Pelodiscus sinensis: one gene and its partners. The protein of the gene in region 2 interacts with the protein of the main gene of each other region in a pairwise test. Links are inferred from orthologs where the notes say so. Each region holds a gene or a part of one and is shown on either strand. Other genes may lie near its edges.

Region 1 (8,223 bases), on a different chromosome or scaffold from region 2:
TATGCTGATGTTTTAAAAAATACAATTTACCCAAAACCTCAGCGGGGTAGCCGAGTTAGTCTGTAACAGGAAAAACTTAAAAAACAACAAATAATCTTTAAGGTTCCACTTGACTAACAAAATATGTAGAAGGTATCATGAGCTTTCGTGGGCAAAACCCACTCTCTTCAGACCCTGTAACCCTATACTCCGGTCATCTGAAGAAGTGGGTTTTGCCCATGAAAGCTCATGATACCATCTACATGTTTTGTTAGTCTTTAAGGTGCTACTAGACTATTTGCTGTTTTTTAAGTTTTTCAATTTACCTAAAGTTATCCTATCTCTCATAGTGTATCTCAGTCCATTCATAGTGTAGCTCAGTCAATGATTTAGAACTAGCGCACAAATTAAAATAGAAATATTAAATACAATTTGTAAAAGCTTAGCATATATCAGTAAATGAAACTACTATATATGAAGATATTTCCTTCGTAAAGTACAGCTTTTATTTATATGTCTGTATTCAATGACAAAAGCCAATCTTGCAAACACTGATAGTATAAAATAGCTTAAATATCTCAACACAGAGGTCAAGCATGCAATTTGTAATTATTTGGACAGTATTTACTCATGCAAGTACTCTCGTTGATTTCATGAGTTAATTGTCTGCGGGAGTTTTGGACTATAGTTCATGACTTCTTTCCTTTTGTTTCCACCAAAAACTTTGTATGAAGATTCAGTAGGGAAATTATTCTGAGTCGTAATTACGGAGGTTGAATACCTTGATTTCTGTTTTCTTTGGATATATGTATTTACTAAGATACAATTCAATCCCTACTTTACATCCCTTCTTGCAACAAAAATAAACATAAGAGTAAGATATACCCACCTAGCCCATAACTGTGCTCAAAACACTTCCAGAGCCCTCAACTCTTAAGTAAAACAAATGACAGTTTAAAAAAGACTCCATGTCCTTCACATCTAATATTACATTCTAGTATTTCATCAGATCCTCAAAATTATGATGCTGCCTTATAGACCCCTCAATAGGTTGAAATTTATCAGCAATATGCAATAAATAAATGTTAACATAGTTTTCATGTTGTCCATGTAATTGTAATTATTTGTTTTGTTTAATTATTTCCCTCTAAAACACCATCTTCACCTGAAATATAATAACCTAACTGACATTAAAGATAATAAATCTTCATGTAAATTGCATTTGCCTAATCCCCTACTAATAAACTAACTGAGAATTGGCAAGACTGGAGAACTAGTATACAGACCACAGTCAACAACGAGTATGTGCATGATTTGAATTTCAAATGACCAGCTATGGGAGCAGTTATGTATTTCCAATTATACTGTACATTCTTCTTTGTATGAGGATGATTGATTCCCCACCAGAAAACAAAGCTTTCCCATTTTGTAGAAGTTAGGGTTCTTTCCAAGGGAGAAGAAAGTGGGAGTAAATATAACAGAGGTGAGGGAAGAGCCTTCGCCTATGGGTGTCAGAGACCTCTTCAATACAGCCGACCAGAAAAGAGAGACCTGAATGTTTCCCAGTGCATCTCTTCAGAGCGCCGCTTCCAGGACACTCACTTCCAATGCAACTGAAGTGCAGACTCTCAAAACAAGAAAGAGTCTGACTCCACTAGGAGCTCAACTCCCTCGAACAGCAGCTGCCGCAGAGACTAGTCGGCGTTCCAGTCAATGCTTGGGCTAAATGTTAGATTAGATTTAAACCGACGTCACAAAAACGGAGAGTTGCACTTTTTGCCTATACACCGGATTCACAACAACTAGACTAAGTAACTGACATTAGCCGACGGCCCCTGCGCTAGCCGAAAGTCCACAGGGAAGATAACACACGGTATTTTGATACACTGAGACGGTGGATGGGGCTGGATTAACGTGGAATCTACTCTGGTATCGAGCATACCCAGCGGACACTTAAGTGGGGAAGCGGCGGCGGCGGGGTTTCTATAGTGTGTAGGCTGCATGTTTCCTTGAAGCTCCCATGGGCGCATGAGGGAACAGGACTGGATCCACACTACTGCATAGGCTACGTTTCCCTATCATGTATATGACATCACCAGGAGCTTCTGAAACCACCTATTTGGGATCACTCCTTCGTGCTGGGGAATTCCTTCTGCCCTAGTCAGCCCCCTGCTGTGTGAACCCCCGCTATGTTGCGTGTAACCCTTCCCCTCCCGGCTCTTCTCGAACTCCAGTCACCTTTGCGAGAGCCACCACAGACTGGGAAAGGAAGGAGCTGGGCTCCTCCACATTTGCTAAAAAGTCTTATGTGTGTCGCTGGGAGCGGTTTTCGGTGTGGGAAAGTGATCTGCGCTGTTTCGTCGAAGTGACCTCTGCCCCCGCGTCTGCGGCGATCAGCCAAGACAATTCACTGCGAAGAGACATTTTTTCCTGCCGCTACTCCTCTCGAGGCCCGATCCCGCAGGCAGGCAGCGGAATGCCCTGCCGTGAACTTCAAGAGAAGGCGGCTCGGGCTCCTCACGACAGTAGCTGCTGCGGGATCCCCAAGCGCCCGCTTGCAGCCCCAGCCGCTAGGGCCTGGAGCGAATGCAACAGCCTCACACTCGGAGAAGCAATAGAAGTCACCCAGGTGTCCTTGGGATGATGGTAATTTAGCGGAGTCCCACTAACCATGCACCCCCCGGGCACCACTGCTGCAGTGACAGTTCCCATTTTAATTGCACCTTCGTATCCCCTCCCCCGACTCTGTCCGCCCCCAGTCTCCCCTCCCGCTTACCTTTTCTTTTCCTTGTCAGCGGTCATTATCGCTGCCCTTCGTGCTGCTTAAACCAACTCGGGCTGCCAACGAGGGCTCCTCAGTCACTGCTGCGAGTCTCCTATTGCCTCCCCCCGACAGAAAACCGCCCGGCAGCTTAGAGATCACAGGCTTGGGAGCAGGAAGAGAGGCGCCGGGAGGGCTCGCCGAGCTGACAGCAAGGCTGGTGCACTAATTGTCCTCTAGGAAAAGGCTGCGGCTGTCCTGGCCAGGTCGCCCCTGAGCTGACCATACAGTCTCAGGACACTGCCGAGGATTGTACAGCCTGCCCAGGGGGGGAAGGGGAAGGGAGAGACCGGGTTCGCCCTGGAATCTGAAGCTCTGCCAGAAGAAAGTTCTCACTTTAAAACTTAAAGCTTCCCTGGGCTCCTGGGGGCAGGTTCAGCCTCTTTAGCCCAGTCACCCACTCCAGCTGGAGCTGTCGGCAGCTCGTTCTCCAATGGGGACGGGAGCTGCAGGAGCCCTCCTCCTGCCCCGCCCCGCCCCCGGCCACCACGGCTCCAGCAGCACTTGCCGAGACCAGGTCAACGCCGCGAGGGGCTGCGGGCGCCTGGGCGGGTGCAGGCCAGCAGGAGAACCCCGAAGAGCGCGGGGGAGGAGGCGGCGCCCCAGCCTCGGGGCTGCAGTGGCACGTTCTGCCCGGCGGGCCGCGGGAAGTTGGGAGTCTCTCCTGGCGCTGTAGGACTCGCAATAGCTCTGCCCACGCTGGGGAGAAGGGGCTGGGAGCAATTCCCTCCCCTCGGCAGCCCCTGCTCCCGGGCCCGGGGGCCGGATTTCTCCCTCTCGCCCCCCTCCCCCTCTTTGCCTTGTGGCCGCAGCGAGCTGGGTGCTCCCCGGGCCCGCCAGCGCTTTCCCAGCAAAGCAGCGCGGGGAGACGGGGCGAGATGGCCGGGAATGGCAGGGGAAAGTGGCCGCCGGGAGCACCTGTCAGGCCTGGCTGGTCAGGCAGAAACGTGACTGGGGCTGTAAACATTGGCTTTTGGATGGCTTAATGGCCCAGGTTTCTTCCCCCCCTCCCCCCCGCCGCTGCTTTCCTCCCTCCTCCGCGTTTCTGTGGGAGGGCGGGTGTATTTTGTATTAATGGCGTTTCTGGATGCACTTGGTCAAGAGGAGTCATCCTTCAGACACGAAAATCAAGCCGCAAGCCTCATTTGTGAATGGATGCAGGAGATGCCTCTCTCTTCCACCTTTAGCTGACTGGTTGGATAAGGCTTCTCCTCAGACCAGGAGCCTGCTGAGGTGATGATGCCTCTCTTTGGGAACAGCTATCTTGAGGAAGAGCCACCAAGGCATTCGGTGGAAGTTAGAGCTACACAGGCTCCTGAGCCTTTGATATTAAGATTAAGACATTAGATACTATGATGATGTGGGGTCATAGTTAAGTGATTGCTTGCCTTACCCCTAAGTGTGCTTGGTAAAATGAAGTCTTGTCCCGACTCCTCACTCCCAGCCTACAGAACTTGAAATCCAGGACTTTCTCACAAAGTATTGCTCTGGTTGGATTTATGCCGCATACAAAAAGCTAATGCTCTAAGCACTTTCATAAAATGCATCTGTCATATCAATAGCCACAAATCCAGTAGCTATTCCTCAAGCTCAAAACCCAAATTACTCAACCACAGGTTGATTAAAAAAATACCCTTCTCACAACTAATTCCCGGTGCTCATGATACCATCCACATTTTTCATTAGTCTCTAAGGTGTTGCAAGACTATTAGTTTAAGTTTTTCCAGTTACAGACTAACACAGCTACCCCTCTGAAACTTTTAAACCGCAGTGCTCAGTTAAGCTTCTAAATACTAGAAGTGCTCAAAATAAGGAAGGTAAAGGCAACTTGCTCCAATGGAGAGCACATCTGTACATAAGTGCACAGTAGAGGATACCATAGATGCTGGAACTAGGGGTGTATGAGGTGCTGCCATACTGTCCATAGTTATCATATACATGGTTTACAGTTTGATGTAATGGCTGTCAGCACCCACACTGTAAAAATTGTTTCACATCCTGGTGAATACTGGAGCATAAAACTGCAAGGCCCTCATTTTACTGATTTTCCTTTCTTTGGGCTTCTACATTTTGTTTCTTTCTTCTCTTTTTTTAAAAAGCCATTGTATATTTATTGACTTGTTCAAATAAAAACAGCAATAAACTTTAAAATTAAGCTTGCTGATATTGTCTTCTTGGGAAATAAAGTACTAAGGCTTATCTCTGGTGAACTTCTTTGGAATATTTTACCTTGTTTTCAGAATTAATTGTACAAACTCTGCTGTGTCAAACAAATTCGTTCCTTGTACCACAACCTATTTAATTATTTTAGTTTAATTGCATTCATAGTCTCTACATTTGTCAGTAGAATTTTTTGTTAAGACAACTAAAACCCAAAACATTTTTTCCTCAGAATAAGTCACTAGTTTTCCTACACTTCAAACTAATGGAAGCAATTTAGCATTTTGCCTGTAAAAACGATTTCTCTATTATTTAAATTTTAGCAGTCTCCTCCTGCCATATTCATATGCCACTTCAAGAAAGTTTGGCCAGAGAAGTATTTTTTTATGGAATATGTGTTTCCCTATTAGTAATAAATTCTGCTTTCATCTGAGGAGCGTTACCTGCACTTGTATAACAGCAATATGATTAGATGGTAACAGTTTCTTATACAACAGAATCTACACAAAAGAAAAGCACAAATATTTAAAACCTAAGTAAACTTGGTTAAACAGAATTTGTTTAGCCTTCAAGTGACTGAAGAATGCAGTAGGATCAAAGAACCAGTCATTCATTCTCTAGATTAAGTTGAGATCTTAGTCCTTCACTGATTTTTGTTGATGTCACTACTACTCTCTGTATCTGAAGATTCTTTACCTGGCTAAACAACTTGATTTGAGTCAGACAAGCAAAGAATTTAAAATGGTTGTATTTCAGATGCACAGTAAAATTCAGATATTTCAGGTCTTGCCCATTGGCCTAGTCCTAGTGACACTGTTCTAGATGCCACATTTATTGTTCTTTTGACTAGCAGGGGTTGAAAGTACAGGTGCAGCAACAAACTGCTCAACTGTGACTCCCCAACGTGACTTAGAAATGCTGATGGACTCCAAAATATACCCTATCTTCATGGTAGTGATGATGTTGCATTATCACAGAGATAAGGAAAAACAAAGGATTTTCAGGGTTGTCAGCCATGCGTAAATTCTCAGAATCAACAGGGAGATCCTGGCATCATGGAAATTTTGCCACTAATTCCAGAGGCAGCAGGATTTCAGCAATAATTTCCTATAAAATGGTTCTCAGGGTGCCAAAAATGACAGTATAAACAATTAGTTCTCAATACTGGCAAATGAAAGAGGGAACAGATGCTCCACATTTGATGAGATTGTTCCAATTTTCAGCAAACCCAAACAGTCAACTGTCGTAGGAGCCAAATATACTTTTCAGCACTGCTTATACGATTCACAATGGGAAAGTAAGGCACTCTTCAGTACACGTATATAAAGCAGTAAATTTCCACCAGACAAAATCCTTGCTGGAGGCTGGAATTTAGATCCAGAAATACGAAATTTTATTCACGATGCCTCGTTACTCTTTTATATTTTTGGCATTATTAGAAGTTTAAAAGGCCACATTTGCTAACAGCAATATCTAAAAAGATACCATTTCCCTGAACTTAAAATAGGAAATACTGCCATATTTCAAGTGTACCACTGACTGTTTTACGCAACAACCACAGTTGCTGTGTAGAAATTAAGAAATGTGGTATGCCGTGCAACAACGTGCAGCAATAAAACAAAAAGACCAAATATTAAAAACATATAAAAGTCAGAAGAACCAATGTTTTGGTTCGGTAATAGCAGCTGGACCTTTTTGCATAGATGGCATTTGCATTACTCTATAAGCTTTTATGATGTCACATATAGGTGCAGTATAGTCAGATTAGGAGTAGCTGGATCAACGGCTGGGGAAACATCCAGGAGAGAGGATCTTCCATAAAGTGACCTTTGTGGAGCTTTGTCAGTGCACTCTCTTTAAACAGACAGCAAATAATAGCCTGCTGTGTAGATGCGGACTCATCTTTTCTTTCTCTCCCCCTTGCCCAACCCACCCTGTGGCTGGAAGCACTTTGTCCCTTCAAAGGGTATGTCTGCATAGCAGTGTTATTTCAGAATACCTGACATTATTCCGAAATAACATAGTCCCAAATCTACGCAGCATGCCACTATTTTGACATAATATGAAAATAATGTCTAGCTGGAGGACTTATTACTCCAACTCCTGTAACCCTCATTTTACGAAGAGTAAGGGAAGTCAGAGGAAAAGTGCTCTTTCTCGGACTTCCTGCTGCATAGACAAGTGCCAAAAGCCAAAATAAACTACGTACCTCAAGTTGCGTAGCTTATTTCAGCTTTAGCCCTGCTGTGAAAATGTTATAAAAAGGGGTGGAAGAGTTGAAATAAATGGCATACTGAAATAAAAAGAAAGCCATGGAAGTCTAACTTGTTTTTAAACAATCCACAATGAAATAGACAAATTTGAAATTCCTATGGGTTCCTAGATACTAGTTAATCCCAGCATACCAAAGTAAGGTAAATACATACTTTGAGAACACAATTTTATGTAACCAGTCTAATCAATGTATGCAATGTGTTTATTTTAACAAACTAGTCTCTGAAATACATTTTATTTACAGCATTCCAGAGATAATACATGCTAACACAGTGTATGTATTTGCTTAAAATGCTATGGAAAGTCATATCTACACATTATTTTCAAACATGTAATGATTCTGGGCCACTACTATAGAATGTTGAAGCCCCGATCCTTGAAGGTATTTTGCCTCCTAACTCTATAGAAGTTAGAAACCCAAGTATTTTTGAGGATTTTGTCCTAGTGCCCCCATGGAGAGCTCAGCACCCACAATTTCCACAAAGTAAGTGAGGTTTTAGGACACACAGTGCTTTGTAAGATGAGCCCCTTCAGCCTCTTCTTAAAAAAAAAGTTCTAAACCACAGTTTTTTAAAAAACATATCCACTGCACATTTTTCACATGGGCTTACATCCATGAAAAGCTTGTTTTGGCTTGTTTATTTGTGTTTGTTTGTTTGTTTGTTTTTAAAGACATTTGCATTAGTCAAGTTCCAAACCATGTAGAAAACTTCTCAATGTCTTAAAATGAATTGTGAATCACAACTTTACTGCCAGGAGCACCAGGGCTGTGCCCTGAAATCCCCACACATGCTTTCATTTTTAATTTAACTGATTCTGAGTGGCTTAGGGAGATGAATGCTTCTTGGATTAATTTATTTTTGTCCCCCCATGCATGCCTTTTCTCACCTCATCACTATCAAACAATGCAACACTGTATCACAACATAATGTTGACATCTGAAGTGCCAACCATAACCCAATGAGCTTTTCTCTGTTTTTACTGCTTGT
Region 2 (7,729 bases):
AAAAAGGGATACAATTGTCCATACCAGAGGTATCAATCTATTTTCAATACAAAACTTCTGCTAATACAAACTTTTAATTCATTCATCATATTTTTTTTTATAACATAATATATATTCTAATTACTCCTAAGAGCATCAATGTAACCATGCTGAATAACAAGGCTCCTTCTGATCTCTTTCTGTCTTGACATCAGATACAATAATCACAAGCTGTTTTTGCCTGATGCATCTTTATTAAGGACCTAGAAGACTCTTCTTCCCTGATAACCAGAGAAAGGTGGCCAGCAGAGTTATAGTTGTTTAACATTCATTCTCAAACTACCTATTAAGCACATTACATAAAACATTATAAAACCCTGTGGTCTACATTGCCTCTGAAACAGAGGCAGCAGCTCTGTCTGTGCAGATGGAGGCCGCTCCAGTAGTAGCTCCCATCCAATGGGACCCTCTGCTGACAGGGGCTGCTGCCATGAAGCAATCTGTGTCCATGGCCAACCCGGGTGGACGCGGGCAGAGGCTGCATCGCCACAGCAACTCCTGTCTGTGGGGGCTCCCAGTGCACAGGAGTCTGGCCACCCCAGGCCGCCATGGACAGAGGCAGCAGCATGGTGGGGGTTGGGAAGCTGGGGATGCCACGGAGACAGTCCTGGGGGGGGAAAAAAAATCAGCTTTTAAGCCAAGTCCCCCACAGCACCGCCTCCTGCTCCCCCACCCCCACTGCCTCGGATATAGGGGAACATCCAAACAGTCAACTAGATTAACAGATAAGCCTAGATTTATCGGTTATTCAACTAGTCAACTACTCACTTACATCCCTACTCTGGGAAAGCTACAAAGAATTGCACAGTTTGGAGCCAAACTGAGAAAACACCTGTCCTGAACATCCCGTTAGGCAGTTAGGAAAACTGATGTTAGCTGTTCTTTTGCAAATCCTACATATCAATGACTATAGGCAAAACCCTGGTTCTACTGAAGCCAATGTCAAAATTCCTGGACCTACTGAAATCAACAGAATTTTGACCAGGAAGTTTTCAGTAGTATATCCTTTGGCTCTTGGTTTTCCCCAATGGTCCTTGTTTTCCCATGGTTTTGCATATGTGCGCACGCACACACACACACCTTTATATTCCCACTTGTAGCTCACTTTGCATGTGTGTCTTAATATCAAAAATCTAATTTTAGTTTTTTTCTTAATTCATACAAGTGCACTAATAATGTGAAAGGGTAAATTTAAAAATAAGAAAAAAGTTTGGTCTCAACCTAGTCCAATTTTAGGATTAAAAAGTTTACGGTCTTTCACACAGTTATTTATAACTTAATAGTAGAAGTAAACAACTTCTACTGTAATTGGTCTAACATCTTAAAGAACCAATGTGAAAAAGTATCAGGAATCTGATAGTGGAAACTGAAAACAGTAAGAAGCAAGTTACTATAAAATATGTGACAGTATGATTAACTATCTTTCCTATGGATGCTGCTCAGTGAGGGTGGGGGTAAGGTGAAGAGCAGTATAAATCCAGTGTTTTGAGAGTTTTTTTTGTTTCCTCCTTTTCTTACAAGAGGTACACAGAGTAGGGAGTGACTCAAATACATTTCCTCCTTTTGAAATGATTTTCATTGAAGCATCAAGGTAAAAAATAAACCCCACATGCTTCAAAAACAAAAATCAGCTTCAAAATCGCACCTGCATTTAAATAAACAAATGCTGTCTAGCTTCCATAAACCAAGAGACAAACAGGGGGAAAAAAACCGATGACCTATTTTTAAGTGACTAGAATTCTCTCACACACACACACAGCCCAAAATATCAAAAGACTTAGCATGAACATAACAAACTACAAGTGACATTTGGAATGGTAAATCGCTCACCCTTCTCAAAGTCAGACACAAAGCATCTATTTCTTTCCTCAGATGAAAATCAGGGAAGGAAGCAACATATACATTTTAAAGCAGAAAAAGACCAAACTGCTGTGAATTTTGAATCTCACTCAGCTCCTGAGAGTCATGGTTGAGAACAAACAACATTAAACCTATTCTCACACACAACAGAAATATCACACTTAAGATAGTTTAAATTAGTGCACATCAAAAAGCTAATACCTCATGGTAGAAGCCCATGATACCATCTACATGTTTTATTAGTGTTTAAAGTGCTGCTAGACTATTTGTTAAGTTTTTCCACTTACAGACTAACTCGGCCACCCCTCTGAAGCTTTTGGATATATTACACGCATACTCTATATAAAGCAAAATAATGTAGATCAGAAAGCGTAGATCAACCGCTAAATTAAAAAAAAACCCAATACATTACAAATGAGAAAAAAGGCAGTTAGTCTAGTTCATTTGAATACAGGTGTCTACAACAGCAATAATAAATCAGATCAGTGTGTGACTATTTAGCATAAAACCTGCGTGTGGGTGTATAGGATGAATAATAAAATAGAATTCAATGCTGCAAATGCTTCCTCATCTATGACTTCAAAAACACTGCATGGGCAAGTGAGGAGCTGGCAGGATCTCAGGGCCAGAGAGTGGCTATTAAGCCTGGGAAAAAGCAGGCTTCTGAATATAGTGGAAGGGGAATACAATCCAGTGTATTTTTCAAGGAAAGTGGGGTGATACTGGGATAACCTATTGGGAAAAATCAGGCACAAAGATACAGATGGGGCACAGCACCCAGGAGAAAAGAAAGACACACCGCCAACGTGTGTATTTGTGTATCCCAGTACAGAAGTACACCCAGGACACAATGCAGACACCCACACAACCGCCCAGGATAACACACCCAGAAAAAGTATGTTTATGTACAGACACACACACACACACGGGAATGCACAACTTCCCAAGACGCACGCGCTTGCACAACCCCCTCCAGACACCCACGCACGGGAATGCACAACCGCCCCCCCCCCCACACACACACGGATGGACAGACAGACAAGGCAGGCGCTCCCTAGCCTGGCACAGGGTAACCGGTCTGTCTGTCTGTCTGTCGGTCGGTCGGACAGCCCCAGCTCCCCCGCGCTGACCTGCAGGCGCCGTTCTCCGCGGCTCCTCCTCGGGCCCCGCCTGGGCCATGGCGAGCGCCCCGCGCAGCAGCGCGCCCGGCCCCAGCGGCATGGAGCGCGCGAGGCGCACACCGGCCCGGCGGACGGTTGGCCCAAGTCAAGCCCCGACTCTAGCGCCGCCCGCCCTCCACTGCGCGCTTCTCGCGAGATCTCCTCAGAGCTGGCGGGGCAAGGGCGCTGAGGTGCCCTGGGCGGAGCGGACTCGCACGTGCAGCCCAACGGAGTCCAGGGCCACGGAGCCGGAGCAGGCTGGGACTTGGCACCAGGCGCCTGCTTGGCCCGCACTGCACTTGCGGGGGCTGAGAACAACGACGCCACAGGCCAGCCAGTCTGCAAAAGTCGTCAGTGCCCCCCCCCCCTTTTCCTCACATCCGGACCGCTTCGCACATAGGAGCCTTTTATTTAGCTCCCGTTTTTAAGCAGGTGAGTCCCATTTTTAAGCCCCCCCCCCAAATATGAGCGCTAGAAACTTGCTTACAGAAGGAAAAAGCCAGAGATTCTTCTCTAGGCCCTCAGATGGAAGAGTATCTAGAGTAGGGATGTTAAATATCACTTCATCGAATAGCTGAGTAACCTCAAGAATTCTTATCCCGTAATTGACTCTTCTATAGTCCCTGGGGACGGGGCCAGCAGCCAGTGTGCTCCAGCCCCACTCCGGAGGAGCACCCTGCCACGCCACATTTCTCTCTTTAGCAGAGGCAGCAGTGCAGGGTGCCAGATGGGAGTTGGTCCGCGGGGAGCCAATTTAAAAACCACCTCCCCTCATGGACCGGTTGCCTGTCACCCTGTGCTGCTGCCTCTGATAAAGAGGCAGCAGCCTGAGGTGGCAGCAGCCCCTGTCTAGGGTGGGTCTAAGCTCCCGGACCTGGTGCGAACCAGAACTGAGCTGGGCTGCCTGCCTCCTAATATACTTTAAATGCAGAGCTGCAGCAGCGGTAGGTCCCAGATCTGTTTCATGCCAGGACTGAGAGGGACTGCTGGTCAGCCTGCTAAAAAATTTATTGGGAAGTGTGTGTAGGGGAGGAAACATGTATTCTATAGCATTAACCTGTACTTATTTGCTTAGCCGTTAATTGGCTTACAACTATGATATTACAACCCTAATCTATAGCCGTTCCCTAAATCACGTTGACCTCCACTGCCAAAACACTGAGGCTGTGTCTACACTGGGAAGGTTGGGAGATGAAACCATTTTTTCTGCCTCCTATTGTTGGCATTTCGTGGCCACATTGTGAGCACCCTGTCAATAGATAGAATGGGGGTGGCCCTCCAGTTACAAACGAAGAGCCAAAATAGCTGTGGATATAGTGCAATGAGCCACATGTTATATATTTATTTTTATATATCTGTGTATAGATAGATATAGTACACAAAATGTAGTGATAAAAATAACATTAGAGGACACTTCAAATAAAAACCAATTAAAAAGTCTCTAGTCACTTAAAAAATTCACGGCCAGTCCGTAGATCTTCAGAGAACTGGGCAAGGAACAAACATCAAATTGAGGGGAAAAAAAACCTTTAAAAATACATTAACATTCTCACACTTTTTTTAAAAAAAAGCATCCCCATCATATATTTTAAATTTAACATTAGTGCACTATTATCTCCTGTGATGCGTGTGTGGTTTTTTTAAACAATTAAACTGAATTGAGAAGTAAATTAGCACAATTTGAAGTGCCTGTTTCACTCCAGCTTGTTGATCTCTGGTATGGTTTCCTCATTTTTAATTTTTTTTGCCGTGGACTTTAAATATGACATCTGTGTTGGCTGCCTTATTCTGCATCCATGAAGACTTTTGAGTTTAAGGTGATTCAGCCCCCTCATTCTAACTCATTATCCCTTCTTTCCCACAGAGCCAGGCACCCTCAGCCCCCCATTCTAACCCAATCCCCTCCTCCCCTACAGCCAGCCCCGCCCCTCCCAGCTCTAACCCAGTGCCTGGGTCCTGGAACCGCCACATGCTTCTCTCTCTAGGCGCGTGCGCAGAGCAGCCAGCTGTGAGCAGTCTGGGCACACAGCTCAGAACAAGAGCCACATTTCTTTAACCAAAGAGCTGCATGCAGGTCGAGAGCTGCCCGTTGGCCACCCCTGAGATAGAGCAGAGCAAAGCAAAGTGGATAAGCATCCCACAGTGCAGAGTGGTGGGAAGACAGAGCTGATCCCTGCACTTCTTGCAATTCTGTCTTAGCTCTGTGAGCTTTTGGTGCTGAGGAATGTCAAAGCAGTACACCTGTCTCTCCAGCCTCCTCCCTCCTCGGCCCTCCCATTGCTGCAAGCAGCAGCTTGCCTGCTGCAGTGTTCCTACCAGGGCAGAACAGCAGCATTCCAATGATTTGTTCTTTGTTTGTTCTCTAAACAGAGCAGCTCACTCAGCTGTCGGATGCTTCCAGAAGCTTTGAAAGTGTAGGGGTACATGCCTGTAGGGCAGCAGAGATCACAAAACACTAAGCACAGCCATCAATACAGGCTTTGTGAGATACTGGTAAAAGCCAGTTCTCTTACTAAAGCAAACAGCAGTATGCACACTGGCTCTTTGTCAACAACAAAGAAAGGGGGGGGAAGTCTGTAGCAGGGCTGGAAGTTTTTTGTCTCCAAGTGGGTGTTTTTCTTAATAAAAGTCGCATTGCAGTGTAAATGCTCTCACTATTTTGTTGACAAAAGGCAGTTTTTGGCAACAAAGCCTCAGACTCTGTACTCTGTCATGAAGTGAGAGTAGGGTTCCCTGGAAAATTTAAGCTCTACATTAAGGCTCAATCCTCCAAACATTCATATGCATACTTATATACAGATTTGGACCCTAAGCAGTCAAACCGAGATGTAAGTGGTGAATACAGCCTTGTATGGGTCCTGCTCCTAGTGTGGGTTGTGCACATTTTGTCAATATCTGCTGTGTGGATTCATAAAATATTTTATTTCATCCAGCATGGATGTGTAAAAACTGGCAAGCACTATCCAGAATTTTTAAAAAGTAGCTAAATTTCTTTCATTCATTGTAAAGACTTATCAGTCACTTACAAATGTGTTTTGCTTCAGGCACACTGCAAGCATCAAGTGTTGTTCCAAAAGTTACATTCACATTAACATTATGAAGTTTTCTGTAGCAATCGTATCTTTCCACAACTTCAGCCTTATGTGAAAGCATTAAATAGTACATGGCAACTAATTTAATAGTCTTCCATGTAACTATCATATACCACTAATTAATTGTATGAGTTAAATATAAAACAAAAAGATAAGTAACTATAATTGTCAATCTTATATTCTTAAGAACTCAGACTTTTCCCTTTACAAATAAAAATGAGAATAATTAATTCCCTCAGACAATTTAAAATCTTTTCTTTTGGACAGAGCCTTTCAATTATTAATTATCACTTTTCAGTTATATTGCACTAGCACATAGGTGCACAAACTGATATTGAGACCTGTTGTGCTGAGTGCCGTACGTACACATAATAATGGGAGAATGACACCATAGACATGTAAGACTCGAAAGGACCTTAAGAGGTCATCTAATACACCCTATCTGCTGAGGCAGAGTTACTCAGTTTAAAGAGTAACTTGTATGAACAAGACTAACAAAACAGAGGAGAAAAAAAGCATGGGGAGGTGAATCACAGAGAGATTAAGTGATTTGCCAAAGGTTATATTGGTAGACTGGCAAAACCAGGAATTAAAAATCCAGATAACACCAGTATCAGTCCAGTGTCTTCACTGCATCACTGTACTTCAGCTGCTAAAATGTATGTGTAGGGAGCTTTTGGAACTGAAACAACTTGTGCACTTTTAAGGGCTGAAACATTCCAAGGCAGCAGAATTTCAGAGAAGGCTTATCTAGACTACGCTAGAGTGTTGAAAGATCTTCTGATCTCACTTTTGAAAACAGAGCTTTCAAAAAATGAGGTTTATGCGGCTTTTCGACAAAGGGGGGTTTGCCGAAAAAGCCGCATCTAAACTACTTTCACTTTCAAAAGCTCCGCTTTCGAACGTGAGATCGGAAGAAGATATGCAAATTCCTATGCAAATTCCATGGGAATTTACATATCCTCTTTCAACACTCTAGCATAGATAAGCCCAGAGTGGGCAATCAGGTGTAGCCAGAGCAGGCTGGAAACCAAATCCAAAATGAAGGGGGCTGGATGTTATTTATAAATAAGGTTCCATTATATTTTATTTTTCTTGCTATTGTCCACAGAGAAAGCCATGGCATTTAAATAGAGCACAATTGGCTTATTAGGAGTTGGACACATTACAAAGGCAAAACAACATCACATTTAAAATACAGGGGGAAATATTCCACTACCTTGATTTACAAAGTGAAAAGGGAAATGTGAAAAACAGAAAAGGCGTATCTACTTTGAGCTAAAGCAGGAGAAATTACTTACATAAGTACTCTCTCAAGTGACTATTAACCTACAGGAAGCTGAGGTCTCACACATGTGGATGAGTGCAGGCTAGTTGTTTGTCTGGTACAATGGAAAATGAAAGTATGCCGGGATCCAGACAAAAGCTGTCCATTACAAACTTGTTACTGCAGGAATAAATGAACAAAGAGATATTTATCTGAAAAGGCATTTGCTTCAAAGGATAGTCTTAAACAATAGAGGACTGAAGGGGTTAGAATGTTGATGACACTTCATAAGCACCTCACAGCTGGTGGCA
Region 3 (7,585 bases), on a different chromosome or scaffold from region 2:
AAAGGTTGCACACCACTGTGCTTGACCTTTCTGGAATTTTTAGATACCTGGCACACTTGGGGATTAGGGCATTCCGGTTAACACTGGCTTTACAGTATTAGTACCATATAAGCAAAGAGAACCAAAAATACACCATCCAAAAATAAAAACATCTAACACCCAGAAGGAGTAGCCAGATCAGGTGAAATTTGGAGCCTCGCAGCCACTGGGGGCTCAAACATTAACACTAGTAATCACCTATTATCAATAGAACCTTCGTAGTGTGTTCTACCTGTAAGTTGTCATTCACAGTTGAACCCTTATACGAAACCCCATGGACCTCATTGAGGCACTGCACAAGAATATCAGCCTACAACCACATAAGCAAAGTTTCAAATAACCACACTTTAACATACTTAAATTACATATAGATATTAAATTAGTCACCAGAGGGAGTTTAAGTAATCCTAAAAAATGTAAACAATTTACAAAAAGTAAAACACAAATATGCATAAAATGACAGAGCTTAAATAAAACATCCATCCTCCATTACATGTAAAGTTGAAATAAGCAATAAGTAAGAAGCAGGTGTGTTATGTTTGAGCCTAGCAGTTAAACACAGGCCTGAAAAAAATTGTTTATGCTATTTTAAAATAATTCAGTCCAATTATTTCCTGAAAAAATGCGCTATTAGAGCACGATCATTTGTTTTCAACAAGGTTCTCAGCAGTTTAAGACCAAGTCCAAGATGCACAATAGCATCACATTTTAAAAAGAACACCTAGTGTTCTAAAATATGAGACTATATATTATTTTTCTTTGAATCTCCATAATGCTAAGTGATCTCAGAAAACAAAATGTTTCGAGTGTTTAACAACAAAAACCTCGAATTAAAATAGCTTTTAAACAAAAATTCTCCTTGCTTTACTTAAAACTCCAGTAAGGAAGCAATGAGAACCGGAAAATGAAACTGATTATAAAATTCACCTAGTATCAATTTCCAAGTTGAAAGAAATGCAGAAAGAATGATAAGCAATTTAGGTACCTGTACTACAGTGCACATGCTTAATTGTTTATATGCATGCCATTCTACTAAAACCAGTGTTTCTACTCAGATGTTTGAAGTTAAGCATGCACCTAAATGCCAGAAGGATGGGTGAATAATTTTCACTTTTAATACTTTTATTAATAAACACTGCTTAGACATCATGCTAAAACTACATTAAACAAAATAAAATGTAGATATTTATTACTGTAGCTTTAACTTTACACTGTTATAACAGGATTTAAACAGCGAATTCTCTGTAGAAATCGATGTACAAACGTTAAGTATTACAATTATAAAATATGTGACTCATGTGGGATTGAGAGATAGATACTGCAAGCTCATGCAGGCAAGTGGCCGCTTCCCGCAGGCCAGCAACTTCATTTTATGGAACTATTGCTTTCCAGGACTAGATGCACGAGTTGCCAAGTGTCAGCTGTCAGGTAACTTCTCACACCAGTGCATTTCATTCTAATTTACCAGCGACACTAAGAACATCACCGCCTTGCCAACAACAGGCCATCGACTACCACCAGCAGCCCGCCGCCTGGTTTTATTGTCCACCGAGCACTGCAGCCAAGAGCGCTCCCGGCGCTACGGCTGTTGCGGACACGAGGGCTCCCCAGCCAGCAGGGTGCTGCGAGGTAACCGCGCTATGCGCGCTGCCCCGCCACACGCCAGGCTGTAAACAACCAGCCCTGGCAGCCGGAGAGCCCAGCCGACAGCCGGGGCAGTGCGGGCAGGGAGCGCCGCTCCCGGCTGCACCGACCGGTCGAGACACCGCCTACGGCTCCAGCCGCGGGAGAAAGAAAACAAGCGGGGTCCCCGCTCCAGCCCAGCCCGGCGCCGAGGCGCCGTTTCCAACCCGCGCCCGGCCAGGTGGGGATCTGGCGGCTCGGAGGGTCCCGCCCCCGCCCTGGGGGCGGCGAATGGAGGCAGCAGGCGGGGCCCAGGCGGGCACCGGGCCAGCCGGGCAGGGCTCCAAACGTGCTGGGAGTTGTGACAGGAGTAAAGTGGGTCACAAGGCCTAGCGGGTCCCTTATGAAACAGCCCCTGCCCTGCCCCGCCAGGCAGCCCCAGCCCGCGCCCGGCCCCAAGGGCAGCCGCTGCCCTGCCCACCCCCCGCCGCTGCCCTGCAGACGGGACCCCGCCAGGACTGTCAAACTTTAATGGTTCCCCAAGCCCCTGCCCGGGATTTGGGGGGCCCCGCCCGGCCACAGCCGCTCCCCCTGCCCCGGCAGCGCGCCCCTTACCCGGCTCCGCGCGCCGCCTGGGGCTACTCGCAGTGTGCGGGACTCTGCTTCCTGCGCCTGGTCCCAACCCCACCGACAGCCCAGCGCCTCCTCCAGCAGCAGCCAGGCCTGTGATTCCCTCGCCGCCAGCACTGCGCATGCGTCGCCAGAGCCTACCGGCAACAGACCGGCTAAGCCCCGCTACATTGCGCGTGCGCCAGTGTATACTACAGGCCGCCGCGGCTGGGCTCGATTCTCCTTCGCAGCTACTGGGCATGCGCAGTCCCCCACGGCGCCTTGTGACTCCTCTCCACTTTAGCGCCTCCCTGCAGCGGCGCCGAGAGCTGCTACGCGCTCGCAGCGGGACCCGGGCTCCCTGACCTCACATCACCCCGCTAGAGAGGCGGGTGGCTCGCGAGGAGAAAATGGCGCCTTTGCGCCGGGCTGCGCACCTAGAGGCAGTGGCTGCAGGCCAGAGGGCGAGGTCCGAGCGGGTCTCAAGAGCTGCCTCGCACGTCACCCTGCCCAGCACCGTTCGCTCCTAGAGGCGGGTCTCCCGGCCGCCCCCGGCTCCCGAGTCAGCGCGTGCGGTCAGGAGAGCGTGAGGCAGCGGAGGGCAGAGCCCCGGTGAGCCCGGCTTAGGGACTGCCCCGCTCTGCGCCCCCGGAGGGGCGGCGGCCACATCTCCGCTGCCGCCCACCAGCGCATCTCGGTGGGAGGAAGAAATGGAGACGGCGCGGGGGACCCGCTGCTTGGCAGAAAACAGCCGGGCACCGCGTAGCCCGGGGCTGGCCCAGAGCCACCTGCAAACCCTCAGCCCTTCACTGCAGCCCTGTCTCTTCCGCCGCCCTCGCTGTGGGAGCCGGGTGCTTCGCTACCGTTAATAAACCTCCCCTCACATCAGCCTTGGGTGAGAAGCATCATTTTATCCGGAGGTGCAGTGACTCTCACCGCCATGGCAGGGCGGGAGGCGCAGAAGGAAACTACAAGCTGCGCTAAGAAGGTGCGCATGCCCAATAAGGAGAGGGGTTTTTTTTTGACAACGTTAATCACCGCAGTTACCCTGCCAAGAGAGAACTGATATAACAACATTTTATACGGTAGATGATAATACGGCAGGTCTTTCCCTATAAAACAGCTACATTAATGTAAAGTACCTATATATAGGTATAACCAAGCCCCTGGTGGGAAACAGCAGGGAGTTGTACTGCTTCCAGTGTACCAATATAGTTAAGTGCTACAATTTGTGTGTATAGTCTGAGACCTAAGCAACTTGCTCACCCACAATCAGGAAGTCTATGGCATAGTAGGGCATTGGGCTCCAGGCACCTGACTCCTAAAACCTTAACCACACAAGTGAACACTACTTACCTGGAACTGGAGATCTTCAAGGTGGACTCTGCTTATTTAAATTCCTGGACACTTTCCTAATTTCTCAGGGTCCTAATCTTGACTCATGGAGCAAATAAGGAACTGAGGTGGCAGGTGTCATCACACTGTCTTGAATAACCTTATACTTAGCTTTCTGTTCCAGTTGGCCATTAAAACTTCTTTTATAATAGCCTATCATGGGGTTGATCTTACTACTGATGGATCCCAGGCCACACTCCAGTTCTGGACTCATGTCATCCCCCAACCACAGCATCTTTCAGGACACAGCCCTCCAGCATTGCCCACTACAGTTGTCTCATCCCCCGTCCAGGAGTTTATCGACTGTCTGGTGTCTCTGCTGTCACAGTGGCCAACTGTGGCCTCCAAGCCTAACCCCTCATTCCGGGGCAAGCCACAGTCTTTCCAGGCCACAAAACAACAATGGCTAGACTTTTTGTGCAATGGGGAGGGGGAGAACCAGGCCCACCACCTACTCTGGGTCCCAATCCAGGGAGCAGCAGCAGCCTTGTCCTGCCCTCCTATACCTCTCCTCCACTGCCTTCTGTTTCCAGGATCATTTCCCCTGTGACTTTTTGCACCCTCCTGGCAAGGCCAACTGCCTGGCAAGTCTAAGGCAGGAGCCTCCCTCACTCGGTACTGCTCTATTGAGGGTGCTTCTCCAAAAACAAGGCCTTGTATCTTCCCCAGTAAAAGCCTAACTGACTTTATCTGCTTGGTAGCCCCAGCAAACCACACCCTAATTGTCTACTTTAAAAATCGTTATTGTCCAGGGCTCTGTGCAGGATCCCGCCAGCCTGCATTAATTCCTTCTGGACAGTATGGGGTAGTTGCCCCACCACATAACCATAGCACCTATTTGGCCAGTTTGTGAGCTATATGCCCTCATTGCTGACCCACAGAAACAAGGAATACTAGAACTAAATCATACACACAAACACATACCATTTGTATTTTATTGGGAATTTATTTGTTAAATCAGGCTTGTACTAAAAGGCATAGAGTCTTGAAGAGTGATGCATTGCAAAGTTCATCCACATTGCACTTCAGACATTGTACGTCCACATCATCAACATAATTTTCTCCCAGTACATTTTCCATATGATGTTTCATTCTTGCAACTAGGCCCTGCATCTTATTACATTACTTACACTTAACATGTTTTCCTTTTTTACCGAGGGAATGAATTTCTTCCCAATATTCCCAGATAAGGTCTTTTTTTATACCCAGAAGCCATGACAGTTTTTCTGTGGCAAAAGTGTAGGGGAATTTAGGAAGTTGTGTATGTGCTGAATAATGTCTTCCCTTTTTCTTTTCCAGTCAACTCAACTGTTCCTTTCTATGCTGCCTCTATTCTTTCCTATAGATTGTCTCTCTGTCTTTAGACCCGTGGTCACCAACCGGTCGATCGCGATGGCCTCGACCAGTCAATTGCGAGGCGTTCGGGCTCCCCCCCCATTTTTTCCCGGCCCCCAAGAAGCCCCACTTCCCACCTCCAGCGACAATGGAGGTAGTGCCGGCTTCCCACAGGGTGGATGGAAGTCCTGCAGCTTCGCGCCACTTCTGGGGGTTCCAGAAGTGTGCTGTCTGCTCCACTCCCACAGGTCTGTGGCGTGCTGGGTGCGCTGCGGGAGGGGGCGTCAGCCCTGGAGGAGGAGCGCGGCGGCTTTCCTGCACCTCAGCAGGGATTTCCCTGCACCGCAGGGGCGGGGGGAGTCGGCCCCAGGGCAGGCGCATGCAGGGCTTTCCCCACACCACGGGAGGGGGGAGTCGGGCCCGGAGGAGGCAGTACATATACATTAAACTATCAGGAGACAAAAGCTGAATAATCTAAAGTAGCAATAGGAATCATGCATTCTGCTATAACACCAGAAGCTTGATTTTACTAACTACAATATGTTGCACTTCTGGCTTTAAGCTAAAGAAAGTGCTTTACAAACATTAAACATCTCCTCCATGTGAAGGAGGTAGGTTTCTTGCAGTACCTGCTGTTTTTGAAGGTCTCTCCATCTTGATCCAACTTGGGTTCTGCTACCTGACAAGATCAAAATACAAAGTAATATGGCTGCACAAACATGCTATTACATTTCCCCCAATGGCTCTTGCCTTGTGTTTACTACTGTGCCTTGAAAGTGCAGTGTAAAACATTAAGTGCCTAGTAAGTATTTAAACAAGTGGAAAATGTTTTAATACATTTTTTAAAAACGTATTCATTTGCTAAACAGTTATGTTAACTGGTAAAAAATTATACTACTTAAAGGTGACTTGCAAAAGAGAGAATACTAATTTATTTAAATGATTAAACATTTCAGGTCTTATTTATATGAATATATTATACTCTTCATTGTAGAAATACAAAAAGTATTTTTACCTAATATTTCCTGCAATACTCTAGAAGACTGAAGACTCTAGAAGGTTTATACAGAGAAGCTCTGCATAATTCCCTAGCTGAAATTGGGCTTCACTGAGAAAGAAAGTGACAATTTAAAGCAGGGCTATTCAAATATATATGCAAATAGCTTCCTTCACACTGATGGGCATGAATACAAAGATTAAGGCAAGACTACACAACACACAGGCCCCATTTAAGTGAGTTCTGCAGATATTAATAAAATGCAATATTACCCAATTTTCACCCATATGATAGCATTTTTAATGAGCAATGACAGTCCAGGAATTTAACTACTAAAACGCATATCAACAGAAGACCATTATACTGACTCGTCGTTGTGGAGTGTGTTCCCAGTGTAGGCCGTGTTCAAAGGATCCCACCCTGCAGGCCACATGTTGAGCCCCGCGTAAACCCAAATCGCACCGTGGGCCACAAACAAACGTGTTGTGTAGCCCTGATTTAAAGATTCATTCATTGCCTCAATTAAAAGTGAATAAAACTCCCAGTCTACATCTTTGCATCATCCAAGAACTTTGCCAGCTGACTTATATTTCTGAGTTAAGAAGAAAAAAAAAACCAGGAAAATCATAATTAGCAAAAATGGTACAAAGCTCACACACTAAAAAAAATGACTTACCCTTTCATAACTTATTCTTCAAGATGTGTTTCATATAGCCATTAGATGGACATGTATAGCCATAGTGGTGGCCCACCCACCCTGGCTCTTCATGCTCTGGATGGAGAATATAAAGGGCAGAGTCATCCTGAAACTCCTTCAGTTTCTTCACACCAAAATTCCAAAGATAGACTGATGCTTTGGAGGAAGAAGGTGGAGCAACACATCTCAATGAACACATCCCAATGAACAGCAGTTCTTCAAGTTATTGGATGTGTCCATTATATTGTGATTCCCAAATTATTATGAAGGTGATAGAGCAGGATATGAGCAAAGAAGCCTTGCGACAAAGCTAGAGCTTTAGTGGAGTAGGCCTTGATCAACATAGGGAAAGGCTGGTGATATTGTGGTGGGGGAAAGGATAGTCAGTGACTTCAGGCTCTAAATTTTACATCCCTAATTCCAAAGGAAACTAAAAATATGTTTTTTCTGGAAATAACTGAAGAAAGAGCTGATGAAAGACAGTTTAACTAAGTCAGTCACCATCTGATCATTAAAATAAGTGTCTTAAAGGAAAGCAATAGTGAGTCTTTGGGACTCATCTTGAATACTAATAGAAAAATGTCCAAAACACCCTGGAGTGAGAGAGATAAGGCACTAATACCTCAGATACCAATGGGCCGTTCTTAGCTGCTTGCATAGAAAGTGCTACGAGCTGTGATGCGTGGAATGTATGAGCAAACCCACTATGAAATTATTTAGATTAATATGTGCAAATTTATTAATGTATTCTTGAATCAAATTAGCTTCAGGAAGCAGCCAGTAGGAAGCTGTCCATCCTGTTAAGTTTTCGCTCTCTCATTTATCTCTACAATCATACAGGTGCTGACTGGAAACTGAATGCTGCACATTTTTGCATAAATAGTCCATGA

The links.
Region 1: the proteins of BMAL2 (region 2) and EPAS1 interact in binary tests that used the Homo sapiens proteins (3 or more experiments, as listed by UniProt). The link is inferred for Pelodiscus sinensis from reciprocal best matches to the Homo sapiens genes BMAL2 and EPAS1.
Region 3: the proteins of BMAL2 (region 2) and CLOCK interact in binary tests that used the Homo sapiens proteins (3 or more experiments, as listed by UniProt). The link is inferred for Pelodiscus sinensis from reciprocal best matches to the Homo sapiens genes BMAL2 and CLOCK.

Annotation. Positions count from the first base shown.
Region 1 is NC_134713.1:164,513,411-164,521,633, forward strand, and holds the start of EPAS1 (endothelial PAS domain-containing protein 1), read right to left. Parts: upstream 3,202-8,223; 5' UTR 2,782-3,201; coding exon 2,756-2,781; intron 1-2,755.
Region 2 is NC_134711.1:120,033,958-120,041,686, reverse strand, and holds the start of BMAL2 (basic helix-loop-helix ARNT-like protein 2), read right to left. Parts: upstream 3,266-7,729; 5' UTR 3,121-3,265; coding exon 3,030-3,120; intron 647-3,029; exon of another isoform or gene 1-646. UniProt on the Homo sapiens protein: Transcriptional activator which forms a core component of the circadian clock.
Region 3 is NC_134715.1:84,829,463-84,837,047, reverse strand, and holds the start of CLOCK (circadian locomoter output cycles protein kaput), read right to left. Parts: upstream 3,202-7,585; 5' UTR 2,278-3,201; intron 1-2,277. UniProt on the Homo sapiens protein: Transcriptional activator which forms a core component of the circadian clock.